Drosophila melanogaster: one gene and its partners. The protein of the gene in region 1 purifies or fractionates together with the protein of each later gene. This does not show direct contact. Each region holds a gene or a part of one and is shown in the gene's direction. Other genes may lie near its edges. The genes, in order: Rpt5, CG12321 and Rdh1.

Evidence for each region.
Region 2: the proteins of Rpt5 (region 1) and CG12321 purify together in Drosophila melanogaster (affinity purification with mass spectrometry, with the first as the bait; one large-scale study listed by BioGRID). This does not show direct contact.
Region 3: the proteins of Rpt5 (region 1) and Rdh1 purify together in Drosophila melanogaster (affinity purification with mass spectrometry, with the first as the bait; one large-scale study listed by BioGRID). This does not show direct contact.

The regions. Positions count from the first base shown.
Region 1 is NT_033777.3:23,750,806-23,754,633, forward strand, and holds Rpt5 (regulatory particle triple-A ATPase 5), read left to right. Parts: upstream 1-2,070; 5' UTR 2,071-2,208; coding exon 2,209-2,418; intron 2,419-2,482; coding exon 2,483-2,903; intron 2,904-2,960; coding exon 2,961-3,616; 3' UTR 3,617-3,818; downstream 3,819-3,828. Other genes in the region: RanBP3 (Ran binding protein 3), read right to left, coding at 437-1,770, 1,899-1,914.
Region 2 is NT_033777.3:18,187,305-18,190,707, reverse strand, and holds CG12321 (uncharacterized protein), read left to right. Parts: upstream 1-2,000; 5' UTR 2,001-2,102; coding exon 2,103-2,846; 3' UTR 2,847-2,883; downstream 2,884-3,403. Other genes in the region: MED17 (mediator complex subunit 17), read right to left, coding at 1-1,418, 1,490-1,578; Arp5 (Actin-related protein 5), read right to left, coding at 2,884-3,403.
Region 3 is NT_033778.4:7,663,610-7,667,437, forward strand, and holds Rdh1 (retinol dehydrogenase 1), read left to right. Parts: upstream 1-2,218; 5' UTR 2,219-2,327; coding exon 2,328-2,407; intron 2,408-2,536; coding exon 2,537-2,800; intron 2,801-2,864; coding exon 2,865-3,021; intron 3,022-3,077; coding exon 3,078-3,337; intron 3,338-3,394; coding exon 3,395-3,626; 3' UTR 3,627-3,734; downstream 3,735-3,828. Other genes in the region: CG2065 (uncharacterized protein), read left to right, coding at 431-687, 744-900, 966-1,225, 1,287-1,515; DCTN4-p62 (dynactin 4, p62 subunit), read right to left, coding at 3,792-3,828.

The DNA.
Region 1 (3,828 bases):
AACTGAATACTGAGTGATGATCCGCTGGAATCCACACCAGATGCCAGTCAGTGGAGCTATGACCAGGACTAGTGCAAGCGCTGAACTTGTAAAAATTATTTCCTAAGCGAAAAGTAGTACATAGGGTTTGTATAGTGATTAAATTAAAACTTTTAATTAGAGCGTGTACGATCGATATCGATATCTTAATTTCGGTTTTCATTTTTAACAAAAAATTATAAACACAAAGCGTAATGGATAAATGTCTTTTGTCGACGCTGCTCACGGGTTTACAAATCAGCACTTCATTTATTTTATTTTTAATAATAATAATTATTAATAAATTATTATAATTAATTTATAATAATTCACGGCGCGCTTTATTAATTAGTGTTTGTTGTGAGTGTTTTATTTCTCCATGTATGAATCGTATAAAAAGAACAAGAGCGAGCGGCGGTTAATTCTGATCGGTTGACTCCTTGGCCTCGGCCTCAGCATCCTCGTCGCCCTCCTCAACGGGCGGCACAGGGACATCGGCGCTGCTATCGGGCTGGACGATCACCTTCTTGGGACTCGGGCCGTAGCTGTCTGCCTCTGCTGAAATGGCACCAGACGGTCCGGGAGCAGCATCCTCATCCTCGTCGTCGTGAGTCGTCGACTCCGGTTGCAAGCTAGCCGCTGCCTCAGAGGCGACGCCGTTTTTCGCTTCCTCTACGGAACACTCCTCGGGATGTGAGACCTTGCGCTTGGCAATCCGTTCGCTGAGCGCCTTGTGTAGCTGGGCAATGTCCGCCGGTCGGCCCATGGCCAGGAAGATCTTGACAACGCCAGAGTTGTCGATGGCCGTTAGTCGTAGGGACTTTTGGCTGGCTCGCTCCGCCACCATGGCGGCCCAGACTTTGGTGTTGAGAAGCAGGCGCAGATTGCCAGAAGTGCGGAACACCACGCGCGAGTCGCCCCTTAAGTCCTTGGCGTCGTTTAAGCGCAGACTGCCGCGACCACGCTCCTCCCAGTTGCTGTTAAGAAAGGCGAATAGCTTGCAGCTCACGTCGATAATGTTGATCTCGTCCTCCTCGCCGGTGAAGGTCTCGACCTCCTCGTATTTGCGTTTCTGAGCGCGGCTCTCCTCATACTCCCGGGCCACATCCGTCAGGCTCTTGGCCTCGGCGGACTCCTTGTTGTTGCTGCTGCTGCTGCAAATGGATGAGGAGGCAGCGGCCTCGCTGGTCTCTGTGGTCTGGGCAGCGTTCTGAATGACGCTTGAGAAGAGCAATGGCGCCGAGGACGACGTAGCAGCGGTGGAGGAGGAGGCAGCCTCCTGGGCTGATACCGAGCTGGCTGCCGTATCTGCATCCGGCTCAGCGGTGACCTGTTCAGCATTGGGGGCCACCACACGTTCATGCACATTCTGGCCGAAGACGAACCCGCTGGACTGAACATTTGGCATGTTGTTCTTGGCTGCTGCAAACATGCTGGAGCGCTCAATGCCATTGCTACGCAGCTTGGTCAGCGGATCCGGCCGCTCGTCGACATCGTCGTCCTCCTTGTCGCCAGTGGACTCGGCTGCCGCAGATCCGGTGGCCACCACCTCCTCGTCATCGTCGTCGTCCTTGGACTCGCGCAGAAACGGATTATTCAGCAGGGCGCTGTCTTCACCTGCACTTGGGGATGTGGAACTATTGTTGGAGCCGCTGCTGTTTGCCAAGACTGCTGGGCGCAGGACAGCACCGCCCAGGCGAGAAGCCTTCAAGGTGAAGCCACCTCGGAAACAGTTAGTTTCGACTGACGCTTCTGGAAACAAGGGGGAAAAAACAAGACTCGTTTGTCAGTTTGTTGCGAACTCTTCAAGGGCACAAGATTCGCGATATTTGGCAACTTTAAGTTATAGCAAGCATTACAGCTTGTTTTGCTACGCTTACCATTATTTTCAGACATTGCAAACTAGTCTACTTGCAATTTTAAAATATAAATTGCCAAATCTTTTACAGAATAGAGCGTTCTGTGTAAAGCCTGCCGTATTGTTATCGCTGTGTTATCGCTGTCACTATCGATAAGCGCCGGCGATGGCGCTCTGTTGTCAACACTGACTTTTTCAGTGTTGCTTACTTGCCGCTGAAAAACAAGAAATTTACAAGTCATCGACAGAGTGTTTGCCCAAAAAGATCGGCAATAATAGCATTTTAACAAAGAATTACATTCAGCAACGGCTAATCAACAATCGTATTAGACATGGCTCAGACTCTGGAGGATAAGTCAATCTGGGAGGACGGGGAGGAGTCCCTGGGCGAGGAGGTGATGCGTATGTCCACCGATGAAATTGTGAGCAGGACTCGCCTGATGGACAACGAGATCAAGATCATGAAGAGCGAAGTGATACGCATAACGCACGAGATTCAGGCGCAAAATGAGAAGATCAAGGACAACACCGAAAAGATCAAGGTAGGGATGACAATGAAACGCCACCCTGCCAAATAGCCTCATTTGTTAAGTACTTCCCCATTAGGTCAACAAGACACTGCCCTACCTGGTGTCCAATGTAATAGAGCTGCTGGATGTGGATCCACAGGAGGAGGAGGACGACGGCTCCGTCACCGTTCTGGACAACCAGCGAAAGGGCAAGTGCGCCGTCATCAAAACATCCACTCGACAGGCGTATTTCCTGCCCGTCATCGGCCTGGTTGATGCCGAGAAACTGAAGCCAGGTGATCTGGTCGGAGTCAACAAAGACTCCTATTTGATCCTGGAAACCCTGCCGGCAGAGTATGATGCCCGCGTAAAAGCCATGGAAGTGGACGAGCGACCTACAGAGCAGTACTCCGACATTGGAGGTTTGGACAAGCAGATACAGGAGCTCATCGAGGCAGTGGTGCTGCCCATGACGCACAAGGAGAAGTTCAAAAACCTTGGCATTCACCCACCCAAAGGTGGGTATCTCACTCGAACAAATGTCACACAACCATATTAATCCTTGCCATTTACAGGTGTCCTTTTGTACGGCCCCCCTGGAACTGGCAAAACATTGCTGGCCCGTGCCTGCGCCGCTCAGACAAAGTCCACCTTCCTCAAGCTGGCAGGTCCCCAGTTGGTGCAAATGTTCATCGGTGATGGTGCCAAGCTGGTGCGCGATGCCTTCGCCTTGGCCAAGGAGAAGGCGCCTGCCATTATCTTCATTGACGAGTTGGACGCCATTGGCACCAAGCGTTTCGATTCGGAGAAGGCCGGTGACCGTGAGGTCCAGCGAACTATGTTGGAGCTTCTTAATCAGCTCGATGGCTTCAGTTCCACTGCAGATATTAAGGTGATTGCGGCCACCAATCGCGTAGACATTCTGGATCCTGCTCTGCTGCGCTCTGGTCGTCTGGATCGTAAGATCGAGTTCCCACATCCCAACGAGGAAGCCCGTGCCCGTATTATGCAGATTCACTCGCGTAAAATGAACGTTAGCAATGATGTGAATTTCGAGGAATTGTCCCGATCCACGGATGACTTCAACGGCGCCCAGTGCAAAGCCGTCTGTGTGGAAGCTGGTATGATCGCACTGCGTCGCTCCGCCAATTCGGTTACGCACGAAGACTTCATGGACGCCATCATGGAAGTGCAGGCGAAGAAGAAGGCTAATCTTAACTACTACGCTTAGACTAAAAATTTGCAGTTTAACTTCACATTGTCAGCTCCCATTAAAATAAACCATGGAAATGTAAAATTTTTCAGTTTCGATCTGAGTTGCCCCTTGAAGATCGCCTTTAAAATAACATCGCAACGGCTCTTAAAAGTAACTAGAATGGGAGACGTACTGAAATCAATACCCAACCTTTTTAAAATAAACAAAAATATATATCAAATGTCGAG
Region 2 (3,403 bases), 5.6 Mb from region 1:
TAACACGTCCATCGCGACAAATGCATTTAAGAGAGCGCTCCTTCACGTGAATGACCAGCGAGGTGCGTCCAATGGCATCGTAACCATGCGTTACAATGTTAATCTTCACACACGACATGGTTGGACTGTTCATGGCATTCCAATGCGACACTATCTGCGGGTCCTTCACATCCCTGGCCAGCGTATCGAGCACATATTGTGTTCGCTTTCGCATGAAAATGTGCTGCGCCTGGGCGATGATCTGTTCGAGTATGGTCTGTGACTTGGTCATGTCCAACAACGTTTCCCGATCGGCGGCCATCGGACCGGCTAGCATGCGCTTCTTAGTGGGTCCCAGTGGTGCACTGGCCGGATGGGGAAAGGGATGGTGTGAGTTCTTGTAGTGCACCTCGCGCAGAAGCTGATGCAGCGAGTGTTCCAGAACATGATCATGATCGTTAATTGGCGCCGGCTGGCTGGAATCGAAGGTGGTTGAGTGGCACAACGAGATAATAAGTTGAATGTTAGGCAGCAGAGTGGCGCGAATTTGGTTGCCGATGACCACATGTGGAATTGGTGCCTGCAATTGGATAGCTTCACGTGCCAACTGAGCGAATAGCTCCTTGCAGAAGAGCACATTCTGGGCGAACTCCAGTGTCTTCTGCCAGACACCCACCTGGGCAGTTATATTGGGTCCGTGACCCATCAGATTCAGCTGAGCGGTGCACAAATCCTCCTGATCCTTCTGTGTGATCACCTTTATGTAGGCGACACCCTGCAGTTCCGCTGGAACAATCACTCGCAATGCGGAGCTGGCCTTAAGTTGCATGCCATTGTTGCCGGATACGCTACTGCTACTGTTGGATGAGCTGGCTGTGTCCTCATCACCGGTCTCTTCTGCTTTGGTCACCTCGAAGGTACCGCTCATGCCAAACTTGGAGCCCGCGGTGCGGTAGCTGAGATCCCCGATAATCGCATTGGACACCTTCTTCAGGCGCCAGTTCTGTCGCAGGCGCAGTAGTTCTATGTGGAAATCTGAGACATTGCGATTGCGCTGCTCGCTGTGCGCGTTCCGCAGGCGTTCAGCGCCACTTAGGAGCACTTGGGCTGCCTGAGAGATGGCTTTCTTGCGGCTGTACACCTGCACAATGGGCTTGGTGTCGTCAGCCTCCTCGAGCAGTGGATCGAGCACTAAATAGCGCTTGTCCTTGGCAATGGAGATCACATCGGACAGCACACATATCTCCGTGAGCGCATCCTTCAGCTTGTTGCGCACCGCATCCCAGGGCCACAGGCTCTCTTGGAACTGAGTGGCGTCCTTGTCCTCGTCGGCGGCCGCTGCCGCCGACTTCTCCTCCTTCTTGAGGTCGTCCAGCGACGTCTTGCTGAAGTCTATGCGCGCCGCACATTTCGCCAGACTTTCCGACAAAGTCGGCGGCCTAAGGAGAAAAAAACAAAGAACCCAATAAATCATTGAGAAGAGGGCTTGCTGGCTAGCGGAAACACATACGGCTGATACAATTCGGTGCCATCGTAGCCAATCTCACGTATCTGGTTCTCGCAAGTCGTTTCCACTGATATATTCACGGAATTCGACATATTTGCGCCGGGAAACAAAACATTTGGTTTGTCAAAGCAAAACTAAAGAATAGTGCTGCAAAACGTCTGCGGCCGGCTATCGATAAATGAGTGCTCAAAAACAACACTTTTTTCCAGGTTAGTAACGAATGTAATGTATAAAATATTGATATTTAAAAATGTTTAATATTTAATTAATATGTGTTATAAAATTACTTTCTTGCTTTAAATTAAGTTTTATTTATTTAAGACAAAACTTTGAAATTTAATGGCTTGGCCACGTGCTTATATTCATTTATATGCGAAGTATAAGTAGGCAGCAGTCAAAAAAATGTCCTTAAATGTAAATAAAATTTGTTTACCTTAAACAACGAAGTTATCTCTTTTGATTTTTGAACCGCACTTTTATTAAGCTCCTTGCCAGAGTTGCCACCCAGTGTCAATTGGTAAACACACCAACACTGGAATCATTACTTTCATATTTTTGACTTGACTTGAATTAGCATCTTCAACTCATTCCGGACACCAAGAGATTTAACCCAATTATGCTGTTTCTAAAGGACAAGCGTACCACTCTGGACGTAGCAGAGCACACAGTAATCATACCGAGCATTTGCGTGGGAAACGCGGCGCAGCTGGCCTGTGACCTGTTGATTGCGTCCAAGGAACTCCGGCGAATTGGATCCATCACACATCCAGCCCTGATTCCGGTCTACGGACCCTCCGCCTATCAGCACGAGCCCAAAGAGAAGGTCTCCTCCTGCGAACTGTACGAGGGTACGGAGGATAAGCTACTGGTCGTGCAATTCCGGGCGCCATGGGTTGCCCGCCACACCGCGCATTTTCAGAAGGAACTAGTGGAGCTCCTCAAGGGCGCCAGACGCGTAGTCATTCTAAGCGGCAGTTTCGGCTTCGAGAAACGAGTCATTGAGGAGTCGCCATGGGCATACCGCGCCAGCGAAAACTTCAAGGAAGCGCATGCTGCCCAGCTGGGCAATGAGGAGCTGATCAAGTGGAAGGAGCACAAGGGCGATGCCATCTATGGCGGCGGCAATGCCTTGCAGTTGTTTAAAGCCTTCGATGAGCAGAAGGTGCCCGTCATGCTGTTATTCCGCTATCTCCTCGAGGGCGACAACTCCACCGATGCATCTCTAATCGTCCGGGAACTGAACGAACTCTGCGAAGACTTCCTTCAGCTGCGCAACGGAGGCGATGGCAGTTTTAAGCTCACCGTGCCCAAGTCCTGGAACCTACTATTCGGCAATGATGTTACGGAACTTCTTTTTTAAGCGTCTACATGTATTTTTCGGTGCTTTCAAATAAATGTTAATCTTTTGGTGTAGGATAAAAGATATTGCTAGCTGTGTGCTCCCGAAAGAACTCTCTGCCATGCTCCTGGTGGTCCTGACGCGTGGTCAGCGTCTGACCGAAGGTGGGCTCTCCTGCGTGCACACATGCTCCCAGCCAGGCGCTTAAAGTTGGCTCATCCGACTCGTAGATGGCGAACTTTGATTGAAACGGTCGCATTTCCATGAGCTCCTTGATTAGTCGCTCCTTGAGACCCTTGAATTGGGCACAACCGCCGGTTAGGTACACGTGCTCAACCAGGCGCTGCTGCTCAGCGGCGGGAAATAGCTTCAGCACGAATGCTATTAGTTCTGCTAGCCCCGCCTCTGAGCAACCAATCATGCTGGGCTGGAATAGAACCTCCGGCACGCGAATGTTCTCAACCCCAAAGTGCAGCTGGTAGTTCTCGGCGGCACTCTGTGGCGGAACATTGGAGTTGCCATCGGTGTTGGCATCATAGTGATTTAGGATCTTATCGAACTGCATCAACTTTTCGTTA
Region 3 (3,828 bases), on another chromosome or scaffold:
TGCAATGAGGTTTTTATAAACTAGAAGCAAAAAGCTCTCAGCAAACCCCAAACATATTTCGTTCTCTCGCAGTTTCGAATCAAACTCATCGTGAGTAAGCGTTTTGTGGCTTTCGTGTATTTTGGAGCAGATAGCGTACATTTCGTATAAAAGGCAGTTCCAAACGGACGGGCAAACATTCATTGACAGAACCAGCAAGTGAAACGAACACAAACGGCGGCAAGATCTATACTGTATCCAAACAAAATGGGCTGCCTTACTAATTGCTTGTGCTGCCCCCTCATTTTTGGCCGTCCATTATCGGACTGGCTGCCTACTTGCTAAGGTATTTGCATGGAATAGTTCTACTGCTGAGTAATGATTAATACGCTCGTGAATTGCGGCCTGTGTTGAAATAGAGTGATAAGAATTAATGAATTTCAGAAAATACATGCAGGGCGGTCAGTTCACCAAGCAGACCGATGAGACCGGCAAGGTGTTCATTGTCACCGGTGCCAACACGGGCATTGGCAAGGAGACGGTCCTGGAGATTGCCAAGCGAGGAGGCACTGTGTACATGGCATGCCGGGATATGAACCGGTGCGAGAAGGCGCGCCAGGATATTATCAGGGAGACAAATAACCAGAACATATTCTCTCGAGAACTGGACTTGAGTTCGCTGGAATCCATTCGCAAATTCGCTGCTGGGTAAACGCAAACATGATAGATCGACGAATGCGTTACTGATTTCCCTCGTTTATTAGATTCAAGAAAGAGCAGGATAAGCTTCATGTCCTGATAAACAATGCAGGAGTTATGCACTGTCCCAGAACACTGACCAAGGATGGCTTCGAAATGCAGTTGGGAGTCAACCATATGGGACACTTCCTGCTCACCCACTTGCTGCTGGACGTATTGAAGGTATTTTGGGTACTCAGGACTTTCTTAGCACCTTGTTAACCAAACTCCCTGCTTAATCTCACTAGAAAACTGCACCCAGTCGCATCGTGAACGTTTCCAGCCTGGTGCACACCCAAGGTTTCATTAAAACTGCCGACCTAAACAGTGAAAAGTCGTACAGCAGAATCGGTGCCTATAGTCAGAGCAAGCTGGCCAACGTCCTGTTCACCCGGGAATTGGCCAAGCGCCTGGAGGGAACGGGGGTCACAACCAACTCCCTACATCCCGGTGCCGTGGACACGGAGCTGTCGAGGAATTGGAAGTTCCTGAAACACCCCTTTGCACAGTAAGATAGAAGACATAAGTGGGCACTACTTGAGTTTGATATTAACACTCGTATCGCTTAGGCTACTGCTCAAGCCCCTCCTGTGGGTACTCTTCAAAACCCCTCGCAATGGAGCGCAGACCACTCTCTACGCAGCCCTGGATCCTGCACTAAAGGATGTTTCCGGGCTCTACTTTAGCGACTGCCAGCCAAAGGAAGTGTCCGCAGCTGCCCAGGACGACAAGACTGGAAAGTTCCTCTGGGCGGAGAGCGAGAAGTGGACCGGCGTGAATTCAACCAAAGTTGATTAAGCAACCATTAGTTTATCCCTCGCCATTTCATAATTTATTATTTTAATAGCTTATCATAATGAAGACTAACGCAAAATGTAATAATTTATGTTTGAATTGTAGAATTCTTACGGATTCTACAAGCTGAAAATAAAGAAATGCTCCCAAAAAAGCTTTACCTAATCTAAAATTTGTATTTTGAGATCAACATTGTTGCATTTCTGTGTTCAGTACTAAAGAAAAATGGTCAAATTCTTTTGTTTTTTTTGTAAAAGTGATGGAATCAATTTGGATGATTCATGCTTTATTTTTGTACCCGTTATTCCTGGAGTAGGAGGGTATACTAAATTAGTTGGAAAGTATGTATGTAACATAACGAATCAGTTAGTTCCCTATATCTCGACGTTCAAACGGACGGATATGGCTGGATGGATCGTTTTGACTAGTGTTGCTGATCAAGTCTAAATATAAACTTTATTCTATATGTTACATACTGTTCAGCGAACCTATTATACCCTTTTACTCCACGCGTAATATACCCATTGAGTAAATATAAACATCAATGGAATTGCTTTTATTTGTTTGAATGCTTTCCACTATCATAACATATTATTGAGAATTCGTTTTCTCTTGACCTTCGTTAAGAATCTCTCTCCCGACGTTCTCCATTTCGTCAGGTTCTCACTCCGAATTAGCGATAATATATGTTTGTGTGGGGTAGCTGTGCTCAGTAATATATTAACAGCTGTGCTGTTCGTACCAGAACGCACTCAACGATTGAAATAAGATCTGACAACACCCTAAATACAAGGAATTGTACAAAGATATTCAAAATGTGCATTTTCATCGATTGCTTATTGAGCCCCTTGATTATGTGGCCAGCTACTATCGGCGTGGGCATCTACTTCTTGAAGTGAGTTGCGGTAATTATTTCGTGTAATTATGAAATATACCAGTGTGACTACGCATCCATGACTCGCTACTATGATTCCCCCGGGTAATAGATAACAGCTTTTCAGGTAATTCCTATTGATAATTCCAGGGAGTACATGCAAGGTGGAAAGTTTACGAAGGACACCGATGAGACCGGAAAGGTATTCATTGTGACCGGTGCCAACACGGGCATTGGCAAGGAGACGGCTCTGGAGATAGCCAGACGTGGGGGAACTGTGTACTTGGCTTGCAGGGATATGAACCGATGTGAAAAGGCCCGCAAGGATATCATCAAGGAGACAAATAACCAGAATATATTCTCTCGAGAGCTGGACCTAAGTTCCCTAGACTCCATTCGCAAATTTGTTGATGGGTAAGCTTACCTCCAGAGAATTTTCTTGTCTCTGTAAGATTTAAAAACCTATCCTATCAATCAGCTTCAAGAAGGAGCAACCCAAGCTTCACGTCCTGATCAACAATGCCGGCGTGATGCGTTGTCCCAAGACCCTAACCAAGGATGGCTACGAACTGCAGCTGGGAGTAAATCATATTGGTCACTTTTTGTTGACTAACTTGCTGCTCGACGTACTGAAGGCAAGTGTGCTATATAATAGTCAAGTGCGTCAGATAATGGTCTTACAAAATTTCAGAACTCGGCTCCCAGTCGCATTGTCGTTGTGTCCAGTCTGGCACATGCGCGTGGCTCCATTAACGTAGCCGACCTCAACAGCGAGAAGTCGTATGATGAGGGCCTAGCCTACAGCCAGAGCAAGTTGGCCAACGTCCTGTTCACCCGGGAATTGGCCAAGCGTTTGGAGGGCAGCGGAGTCACAGTAAATGCCCTTCACCCTGGTGTGGTGGACACTGAGCTGGCGCGGAACTGGGCCTTCTTCCAGACAAACCTTGTGAAGTAAGTGATGAATAAGTGAATTAGGACCTTCCCAGTAATACCTGTTAACCTTCCTAGGTTCTTTTTAAAGCCAATGATTTGGCCGCTTTTAAAGACACCGAAGAGTGGAGCTCAGACCTCGATTTACGCTGCTTTGGATCCGGAGCTTAAGAACATCTCTGGCCTGTACTTCAGTGACTGCAAACCAAAGCCTGTGGCTTCTGGTGCCTTGGACGATAAGGTTGCCAAGTTCCTGTGGGCCGAGAGCGAGAAGTGGACCGGATTAGATAAGCTGGAAGCTAATAACTAAAGAAGAACGAATAGTGTTAGAACAAGCCTTTTATTATACTTGAATACTAGCTGCTGTTTCACGAACGGATTAATAAATAAATACATATTTCTCTAGCTTTCATAAAGCATATTTCATATTTCGCATAAGTCGATTAGTACGCCTGTTGGCTAATAAGTTTCCAGTTTAGTTGGCTTTCTGCTCAGTTGCTCCCGCCGTGATA